2 linked regions of the Schizosaccharomyces pombe genome follow. The protein of the gene in region 2 interacts with the protein of the main gene of each other region in a biochemical or structural test. Each region holds a gene or a part of one and is shown on either strand. Other genes may lie near its edges.

Region 1 (4,619 bases), 540 kb from region 2:
ATTTTGGCAAAAATCCTTCATGGTGGCTTACTATGCTTTTTGTAATGGTTTGTGCTTTAACAATTGATATTGTTGCCCAAATGTTACGAAGGACTTTACGTCCTACGGACACCGACATATTTGTGGAAATGGAAAACGATGCCTTTGTCCGCTCTCGGTTTGAGCAAGAGAGCGGTGAGTTTTTACAAGCCAATGCACCATCTGTCGATGAAATTGAACAATATTTAAAAAGCCGAGATTAGGCATTTAATTCATTAATCCAATTCTAGTATATGAAACTTTCTTTAGACGATAGTCAGTTTACTGGTAAAATGTTAAAATTCTGGGGTTCCCACTGTTCAATTAGAAATTGTCTATTAGTTATGGGTCATGATCCGCATTTCATAATTATTGTTTACTATTTTGGTTGGTTTTCTTGGCGTTAACATCCTGTTGTACTTATTAATACATGTTTTTTACTCACTCTTTTTTATCTTTTCCCTAATAAAATCTATGCATTAATTTGGAATTCTTATGCAACGAATTTAATATTTACAGAAGTGCATGTAAGATTTTATCAGTAGGGACAACATTAAAAAAAAGTAATTGGTAATATTATTAGTTATGCTAAAATAATGTAAAAGAAGGTAAACATGAATTAACGATAAAAAAAATTCGATAACAATAGTTAGATGCTCAAAGGACAATGAACAAAGTAGCTATGGAGTTTCTTGCAGAAGTCTTACAATGCTCCTTTCATCGTTAAATAATTGAATTTTTTGTAAGTGTACCCAAGGAATGCCAGATTGGTTTGTTCCAACGTCTGAGGGTCAACAGAAGCAGGTTGTTGTGTGACAGGTTGTTCAGGAACTTGTTCAAGCTCATCAACAGGGAAATAATGTGTATCGGTAATAGATTTCAAATTCGGAATAAATGGAGCTGCAGTTTCTCGTATATGATCCCAATCGATTCCAGTAAAGAAAGGATGTTGCATTATTTCAATAGCACCGCCACGACCTAATCTGTGTTCTGAATCTGTCATAAGTCGGTCCATCAAATCACGAGCTTCTATGCTTAAATGTATATCATTTGGGAAAGTCAGAGTCTCACGCCAATTGATGATTTTTCGATAAGTTTCATGAGAGTTTTCACTGCAAAAGGGAGGCCATCCAATTAAGCACTCGAACATGATAGCGCCTAAACTCCACCAATCACAATCTTGACCATACCCTTGTTGCAAGAAAATTTCTGGAGCGATATAATCAGGAGTACCCACAGTGCTATAGGCCATCACCCTACGGTTCTTTTTCCAAGTAGCCATTTTGTCCTTGGAAGACATTGTAAGCCAGATAGCATCTACCATTTGACCACGTTTGACAGTATTTCCTGTGCGAGGTTTCATGTAAGAGGCACTCTGATCTTGCTTGTAAAAACCAGTGGAAAGTCCGAAATCAGAAAGTTTTATATGGCCATCCCGGTCAATCAGTATGTTATCCGGTTTTATATCCCGATGAATATAACCCATTCGATGAACATCAGCTATAGCCAAAACGCACTCAGCCATGTAGAAGCGAGTAACGTCTTCTGAAAAAGTATCATAATTTATTAGCATGGTCATCAAATCACCGCCTGGTAAAAACTCCATAATCAAGTAAAGATACAGTGAATCTTGAAAAGCATAATACAATGACACCACCCATGGGGAGTCAGATTCAACTAATAAGTCGCGTTCTGCTTTGACATGAGCCAGCTGGTCACGTTTGAACATTTCAGTTTTAAGCAAAGATTTCATGGCATAGATTTTACCCGTATCGAGTTTCTGAACCAACCGAACCTATTTAATTAGATACCAAAAACATAAACAATTATGCAAACGTACCTCGCCAAATGCACCTTTCCCAATAACTTTGATGGTAGAAAAATCTTCTAAAGAAAGCCGTGTACGACGAAATCGAAGAAATTGAGACTCTTTTTCACCAGATGCTCTTAACTGCCTATTCTTTCTCTCCTCAGAACCCCTTTCGGTTGCTAATCGTTGCTCCAAATTGATACGTCTAAAGAGAATTAGTATTTATACCTAAAAGTAAATTAAACGGAAGCTAGCATTATTAATTAACATTTTCGAAACAAGATGAGTAAGCTGTCTAAGATTTTATAAACATTCGAGATTATGCATTTACTGCAACACGCGAAGTTGAGAACGGAGAAAGAATTAATAAAAGCATCGTCTTTGATACTTATCCGATCAACGTATAAGATGGGAATACTAATTGAGGAATGTGAAACAATGCTAGAACCCTGAATAGTAATGCTACTCGTACCTTTGGTTGCGCTCTACAGCATGATCAACTGCCACCTTGTAATAATGTTCAATATATTTCTTTGTCTTTTGGACTTTGTCTAAAGTTGATTTCGGAAATAATGAAGGGTTCCGTTCAAAGTGTAAGTAATCATTCTTATCCATATTGAAAGAAATGTTGCAATAAATGGAATTTTTACACTAATTAGAATCAACTACAAGGTCAACGAATTAATTAACAAAAAGAAATTGTTAAAAGATTGAAATTCAATCGCTTAAAACATGAATTAACAAGACATGCAAAACAGAAATGAGACAGTGATAAATCGGATATGGTAAATGACAAGTCCTATTATGCTTTTTTAATTATAGGACTACTGCCAGCTAAGGTATAATCCGATAAAAATATGTTAAACTGCGATACTGGAAAAGCAAGTACTTCTGCAGTTTGTTATATAACTTCAACGATCGCTTGCGATAAGCTCCGCGCATTTCCTAACCCTCCCTGTTCAATATTACGACGCTACTAACTGAAGCCAAGAATCTTAGCTTACGAAGATTTTAGAATCTGAATTGAAATGAATAGTCAAAAAAGACGGACGGAGACATCAATTCGTTCTTCACCATAAAAATATTTGTGTAATAAAAACTAAAGGTGGTGGATCGAACTCTACAGGAATAGTTATCTATTTAATTTGGTGTTTACTCTTCATTTAATAACTTCACATTATTGAAACTCCCATTTAAATATTATAGACAAACAAGTAAACAAAAAAAGCCTAACCGATTTGTATCCAAAATGCAGCTAGCCAAAACGTTGACAATTTCACATAATTTTCAAATCTTTTTTGTGTTTATTTTTTCGAAACCTGAGAAATATTGTCTATATTAATAGGGGTATGTTTAAATGCGCGTTTGCCAGGTCCAACTCCATAACTACTTGCAACTTGACCATTTCCTCTAAGTTGGTACTTGTAAATAGTTAACCCATCAAGACCCATTGGTCCTCGAGCATGAATTTTGTTGGTGCTGATGCCAACTTCGGTACCGTAACCATAACGAAAACCATCGGCAAATCTGGTTGAAGCATTCCAATACACACCAGAAGCATCAATTCCAGCCATGAATCTGTTAGCAGCTGCTTCACTAGAAGTGATAATGCAATCCGTGTGTTTAGAACCATGTGTATTTATATGCTGCATTGCGGACTGTAAGGAAGGTACAGTCTTAATAGCAAGAATCAAATCAGAGAATTCAGTGTTGTAATCTTGATCGACAGATGGTTCAACTAGAGCACTAACTTTTGGCATATCCTTTAAAACCTTAAGAGAAGCGGGATCACATTTTAATGTAACTTTTGCTTCAGTTAAAGTTTCAGCAATTTTAGGAAGATGAGAAGATAAAACAGCTTCGTTAATTAACAAAGTTTCAATTGCATTACATGCTGCTGGATAATCAGTTTTTCCATCCAGAACAAGTTTACTAGCCAATTCCATATCAGCATCCTCATGGACGTACATGGAGCATAGTCCTGCAGCATGACCTAAAACAGGAATTTTTGTGTTATCTTTTATATGGCGTACAAGATTAGTGCTGCCGCGGGGAATAACCAAATCTATGTACTCATCCAATTTTAATAATTGTGATACCTCCTCGCGACTCTGAACAAGCTGCACAGCAGCCTGTGGAACCTTACTTTTGCCCAAGGCAGAGCGAACAACATTAGAAAGTGCAGCGAAAGACTTTGCTGATTCCGTGCCTCCTTTAAGTACAACAGCATTACCAGATTTGATAGCCAGGGAAGTAATATTAATGATTACTTCAGGTCTAGCTTCAAAAATGACTAGCAATAAACCTACAGGGCAAGAGACTTTATAAAGGTCCAAACCATCGTCAAGACTACGAGCATAAGTAACACGACCAAGGGGATCAGGCAAACTTTTAACATCTAAAACACCCTGTACCATGGAATCGTATTTATCAGATGAAGACAGATCCAATCTTTTAACCATCGATGAACTTAGTTTTCCTGATTCAGCCAAGAGCTTAGCTGCTTTCATATCTTCAGCATTTGCAGCTAGAACCTCTGACTTTTTTATGCGCAGTTCTTCAACTATTTTATCCAATGCATCATCACGGTCTTCCACTGATAATGTCTGTAAAATGTTAAAAGCGTTTTTCGCTTCCTTTACATTCTCTTCAAGAGACATGCTAAACAATACTTATACAACTTTGAGTAGAGGCAATTGGGAGATTTAAATCAAGCGAATTCTTATTCTTAGAATGGCTAGCTCAAAAAGACTACTTTTTGTAGTATTTTGGTTGTTTTTTCTAATGTATG
Region 2 (5,176 bases):
TGGTGGTAAAAGTGGGACTAACTTCGATGCTGATTCAGTGGCTGGTGCCAAGGCTAAACTCGAAGAATGCAACAAGCTACCTAGTATCATGATCGACTGTTCTCATGGAAACTCATCTAAAAACCATAAGAATCAACCCAAGGTTGCTGCTTGTATTGCTGAGCAGGTGGCAAACGGTCAGAAAGCAATTACTGGTGTCATGATCGAATCTCACCTTAACGAAGGTAAGCAAGCTATACCTGAGGATGATTTGTCAAGTATGAAATATGGAGTCAGTGTCACCGATGCTTGCATTGGTTGGGACGACACTACCGCCGTTTTTGAACAGTTGGCTGCTGCCGTCCGTTCTCGTCGTTCTCATTAACCTATAATGAAGGTTATTGAGACAGTTTTATAAAAATAAATTTTTTGGTTTCTTGTATAATAAATTTGTATTTGCCGTAATTAACAGTGTGACTTTTAAAAGGTTATTTATCGTACTTATCATTGCACTTTATCGGATGGTTCCAGACTGTTTCATCGTAAGTATTTTTATTTACGTTTTGGTTTTACTACGAATGTAAGAATTTGACCTGTTTTTGTTAGTCAACTAGGATAAATAACGACGAACAAAATTAATTCAATCAAAACCTAATTACATATTTTAAACATAAAACATAGTTAAAGTGAAAGTCAAATATTATATACATTATTAAAGCATATAAATGAAAAGTGGAAGCGTATGAACAAATAAAATGGCATAACAGCAGAAAAGCCAAAACGTTCCTAGTTTAAAAAAAAAAAGTGAAAAGACAATAATTAATAGCTCGACTTGAGCAGACAAAAATAATGAGATGCATAAAAGGAAGGCGTAAAAGCGTTTAGAATCCTAATTTGAAACTAAACTTAACAGGCCTCTGTGATAGACAAAAAAAGACCGTTAAAAGAACCTAAACGAATTGTAATCAGACAAACGCAGATATTAGGTTAAATAAATGTAATTGTGATGTTAAATACATGGAAGCTGCAAAAAACCATGGTCCAGAGAAACGTTTTCATCATTCAAGTAACATGAATGCAGTATATCTAAATGTGTATATATATAGAACAGATAAAAAATATTCGACTAAAGAAGTTGCTCTTAAACCCTCGCAGCTAAAGAGACACTTTTCATTAATTCCTCCAGCAATACCTCGTCATCATAATGCATGGGTTCAAAGGCTCGAACTAACTCTGCATAATCTTGCGTTTCTTCTAAGATGCTATCCCTCATGTCTTGAGGGATAAGAAACAAGAAACCTTGAGCGTAGTTTTCATAGAGAGAGCGTTGAATACCAATAAAATGATAAACAACACTGTGAAATTCCTTCTCAACAAGAGTAGAAATTGCCTCAAGCTTTTGAGCAGGAATCACAAATTCAGCGCTGATAATGAACTGAATAACTTTTTGAATCACTCGTAGGATATTTGTGATTGGGTTAAGGATAGAAGAATTTAAAGACGTTTGTATTTGAGAAGGAAGGTTAGCAGTCATCATGTGCGCAAGTAAATGATACTTACGCCACGTATCTACCGGCTTGTCTTCGGGCTCTAAAGCACTAAGCCCTTCAAGCTCTGCTAAAACCTTTTCAAAAACCGAAAATCCACGATGTACAGTAACGTACCACGTTTCCAATGTAGCATGTAAGGCTTTTAATATAGCGAATCGTTGTCGAAAATCTTGAAGCACTTGGCGTTGAAAATTCAATCGAGCATCAGTTTTTAACTCAGTAGATGTAGTGGTGGGCCTAGATTTATTCGATGTTGCTTTATAGAGTAAACTCCAAGCAGCGTCTCGTTTATGAGAAGCACTTAACGACCCACGCTTATGAGAAGGCTTCTGCTTCTGGTTTATACCAGATATTAACTCCTGTAATAGTTGATAAGAAAGGACCAAATCTGGGCGCTCAGAACTACTTTCAGGAGTAACATCAATGATTTTTTGCAATAATAGGGGGTACTTGAGTAAGCGCTGTAAAGGTTTAATTATTAAACTACCCAAATCCCAGGCGTTCGTGTATTTTTGAACTATTTTATCACCCTCCATAATCCAGGATGCAGTTGCAGGTTTCTCTCTCCATTTAGTGATAATTTTGAAAACCGAATCTTGACGGTTGCAATAACCAGTATAAATTTGACCGATTTCAGAAAGGCTTTCTAAAAAAATAAGACCTAAATTGCAAGGAAGAGGATCTATAAGCTGGGTATCCAAGTTTACACGCCAGGAGCCTTCACCAGCTTGATAAAGTCGACTATGGAATTCCACAGTAAAAGTTAATAAAGACTCTATATCGCCAAAAACTGTTTGGGCGTCAACTGGATTCAATGCACTGCATTCTTTGACCCGCAAGCCATAACTTTGTTGAATCGCAATGAGATCGTTTAAATAGGCAGCTTCAGTAGTAACCAGCTCTTTAATCAAATTTGCACGCTTTTTAATACGCTTATATTCTGGATTGATAGAACTGGCTTCAGACATAGCAAGAGATTCCTTTGATAAACGCTTACCTGGTGTGCTCGGTAAAGAAGTAGTGGCATACGAAATTGTTCGGCTGAGAGACTCATCAGTTTCCAAGGCCAAAATAGTAGAGTCCAACTTAGTAGAAAAAGAAGTAGTATCAAGAGGTGAAAGGAGGGACGCTGTAGACGAATGAGAGGAAGGCATACTTGCCAAAGTCACACTGGAACGCTTTTCTTGTTCATCCGTAGAGCTACCAGGTAGATACGCCGAAGTCCTGTTACTGCTAGTTTCAGAGGAATTCTGTGCCATAAAAGACCCTAGGCCGCTAACTCTTCGTGAAGTTCCATTGCTACTCGTGTTTGTATGTATTTTTCGAAGTGTTGTAGGACAGTTATATGATGGGGAACTAGGCAACGAAGGCAAAGTATATCGGCTAGACTGAGCATAATCTTGACGATTGCGGTCCCCATAAATACGATTAGGGGTTAAAGTAGAACTATTAGAGGCTGTAGAATCCCCATTTAATGAGTGGCTCATGTTGGAGTTTGGCAAATTGAAGGAGCCCTCCGAAAAGAATCTTCGGTGCTGAGACGATACGGGAGGAGTGTTTGGAGTTTGGGGATCTTGTAAAGCACGAGCAAAGCTTGCTCGAGACCTCCTTCCACTACTCAACCTGTATTCACTCTGTGATTCTGAAACATCGCCATCAGTGTCGTCTGATTGTCGGTAAGAAAGCGAATAACTGTTAGAAGGAAGGCTTAAATTGATAGATTTTCGTTTAATACATGCAGCTCGATGAAGCTTGCTTGTTCCAGGCAATCTTGGTAAATCCCTGTTTGCCAAGGTTTCAAAGTACTCAGGCTGATCAACATTGTTAACACATATACACACATTCAAATCAAGTATAAGGACATACGGAATCGGACATATCCGAAAGATCTGCTTTTAAAGTCTCCATATTGAAAACATTTGGAGAACAATAAAATGAATGACAATTTTGGAAATTTTGTTTACATGAATTTTATTAGGTAACGTTGTTGGTAAAGCACAGGTTTTGGAGATTTGGCGCCAACTTCTTCTTAATCCACTTTCAATACCTTCCACTTCCTTATCTTCATTACCAATGCATAACGTAATCACCCACGAAAAATAGTTTGCCAAAAATAGGCTTGGCTCAGCTTTTTGAGCGCCAACCGCGGACAGAGGCAGTTTACCTTTGTACTTGGTTTACAAATGGTTGCTTGCACAGGTACATAGTAATATGACTTGAGTATTCGATTTTGTGATAAACATTTACGTATTTACAATTTGTAATATAAGGTTAAATTTATTCATGTCTCCCTTTATGAAATTCTAGAAATGACAGCAGTTAAAATAAATTCCACTGTTACGGTTACAAGTTAATAAATTTGTTATTTCATTGTTTTAATTAGCTTAAATATTTAGAGCGGTTTTGTTTTCTTGGTAATGCACGTAATTTGCTTTGTTTTTTTTTTTTTTTTTTTTTTTTTTTTAATAAGTAATAAACATTAAAGATGTATATAAACAGAAATGAGAGAGAAGCGGCAGTTGATTGTCTTACATAACTTTGGTAAACACTGTATAATTTTAAAAGAAAATTTTTATTTTTTTTAATAATTACTTGAGGCTAATACGCTGCATTTTCTGTCTGTAGTACTTTTTTTCATATATTCAAAAAATCACGATATCTAATACTAAGTGTGTATGATAAACAGACCTAGTCAAAATTCCTAAATATTCTACGGTGTTCACTAAAAACAAATATAATGTTTCAGTAAATTAAACTAAAAATACTATTAATCGACAGGCCATAAGAAAAATATATATTGTAAAAAAAATGGAAACTTCCATTATATCTATTAAGATTTCTTCTAATTTCAAAAAGGAAGTGTTATTAAATCCTTTAACTTGTAACTTCGTTAGCGTCCGACATAGCTAATCATGCTTATAAATGGTTTGTTAAAATGCAAATGAGTAACATCATTAAAAATGATAGAATTAAGAAAAAAAGAGCATTAGTGTCATATAACTTGCAGCAGGAAGATTTAGAAAATATATAACAACATGTAAAGCTAGATAGCAAGGTTTTCAATTAGAGTCTTCAAAACTGGACACCAGCGCACACAATTAGTTACAACACCGGCACACATAATTTCTACAATAAATGCCTTCGCCTCACTAATGTTTCCTGTCAACGCCAAGCGACATGTTTGCGATAATTTTTGTAGCCAAAAGCCTTCCATGTTTTCTAGTTGACCTTGTAATAGTAAATTCGTTTTGACTCGTTCACCCAACATCTTATGAACAGAATCACTAAGATTTGATTTACTTTCTATAATTTGCAATAGGGAGTGCCTGACATCTTCACAAGAAGCTTCGTTCATACAATCGTTTGTTGTATCGTTAAACGTGGTAAAGATATCATTGTCACTGCTTTTCTTCATCAAGTTGAGAGGATTACTGCTAATTTGAGGAACAGAGATATTCGTGGGAGGAACAGATATACTCCTGTTCATAATTTTTGAAGGTGAAAAAGGAGGAAGTGGTGATTTACTAAGTACTTGACCAGCTAACGGTTTGGGTGCCAGCATGTCATCACCATAAACCAAACGTCTACTCGAAGCCGATTTCTTTAAACTTGATGTGGAAGACGTTCGTTGAGTTTGACTTAAAAAG

What was found.
Region 1: of the proteins of gef1 (region 2) and orb6, one has a biochemical effect on the other in vitro, tested with the Schizosaccharomyces pombe proteins (one study listed by BioGRID).

The regions. Positions count from the first base shown.
Region 1 is NC_003424.3:1,006,263-1,010,881, reverse strand, and holds orb6 (serine/threonine protein kinase Orb6), read right to left. Parts: upstream 2,620-4,619; 5' UTR 2,444-2,619; coding exon 2,301-2,443; intron 2,034-2,300; coding exon 1,859-2,033; intron 1,814-1,858; coding exon 722-1,813; 3' UTR 564-721; downstream 1-563. Other genes in the region: dnf1 (P-type ATPase), read left to right, coding at 1-242; gamma-glutamyl phosphate reductase Pro1, read right to left, coding at 3,133-4,488. UniProt on the Schizosaccharomyces pombe protein: Interacts with pak1/shk1 and coordinates cell morphogenesis with the cell cycle. It is essential for maintenance of cell polarity and is involved in mitotic control.
Region 2 is NC_003424.3:469,463-474,638, forward strand, and holds gef1 (RhoGEF for Cdc42 (Gef1)), read right to left. Parts: upstream 3,529-5,176; 5' UTR 3,438-3,528; coding exon 3,396-3,437; intron 3,341-3,395; coding exon 1,121-3,340; 3' UTR 519-1,120; downstream 1-518. Other genes in the region: SPOM_SPAC24H6.10C (phospho-2-dehydro-3-deoxyheptonate aldolase), read left to right, coding at 1-364; SPOM_SPAC24H6.08 (uncharacterized protein), read right to left, coding at 4,573-5,176. UniProt on the Schizosaccharomyces pombe protein: Has a role in the control of cell polarity and cytokinesis. Involved in bipolar growth, via modulation of cdc42-shk1-orb6 signaling, and septum formation. Stimulates guanine nucleotide exchange of cdc42.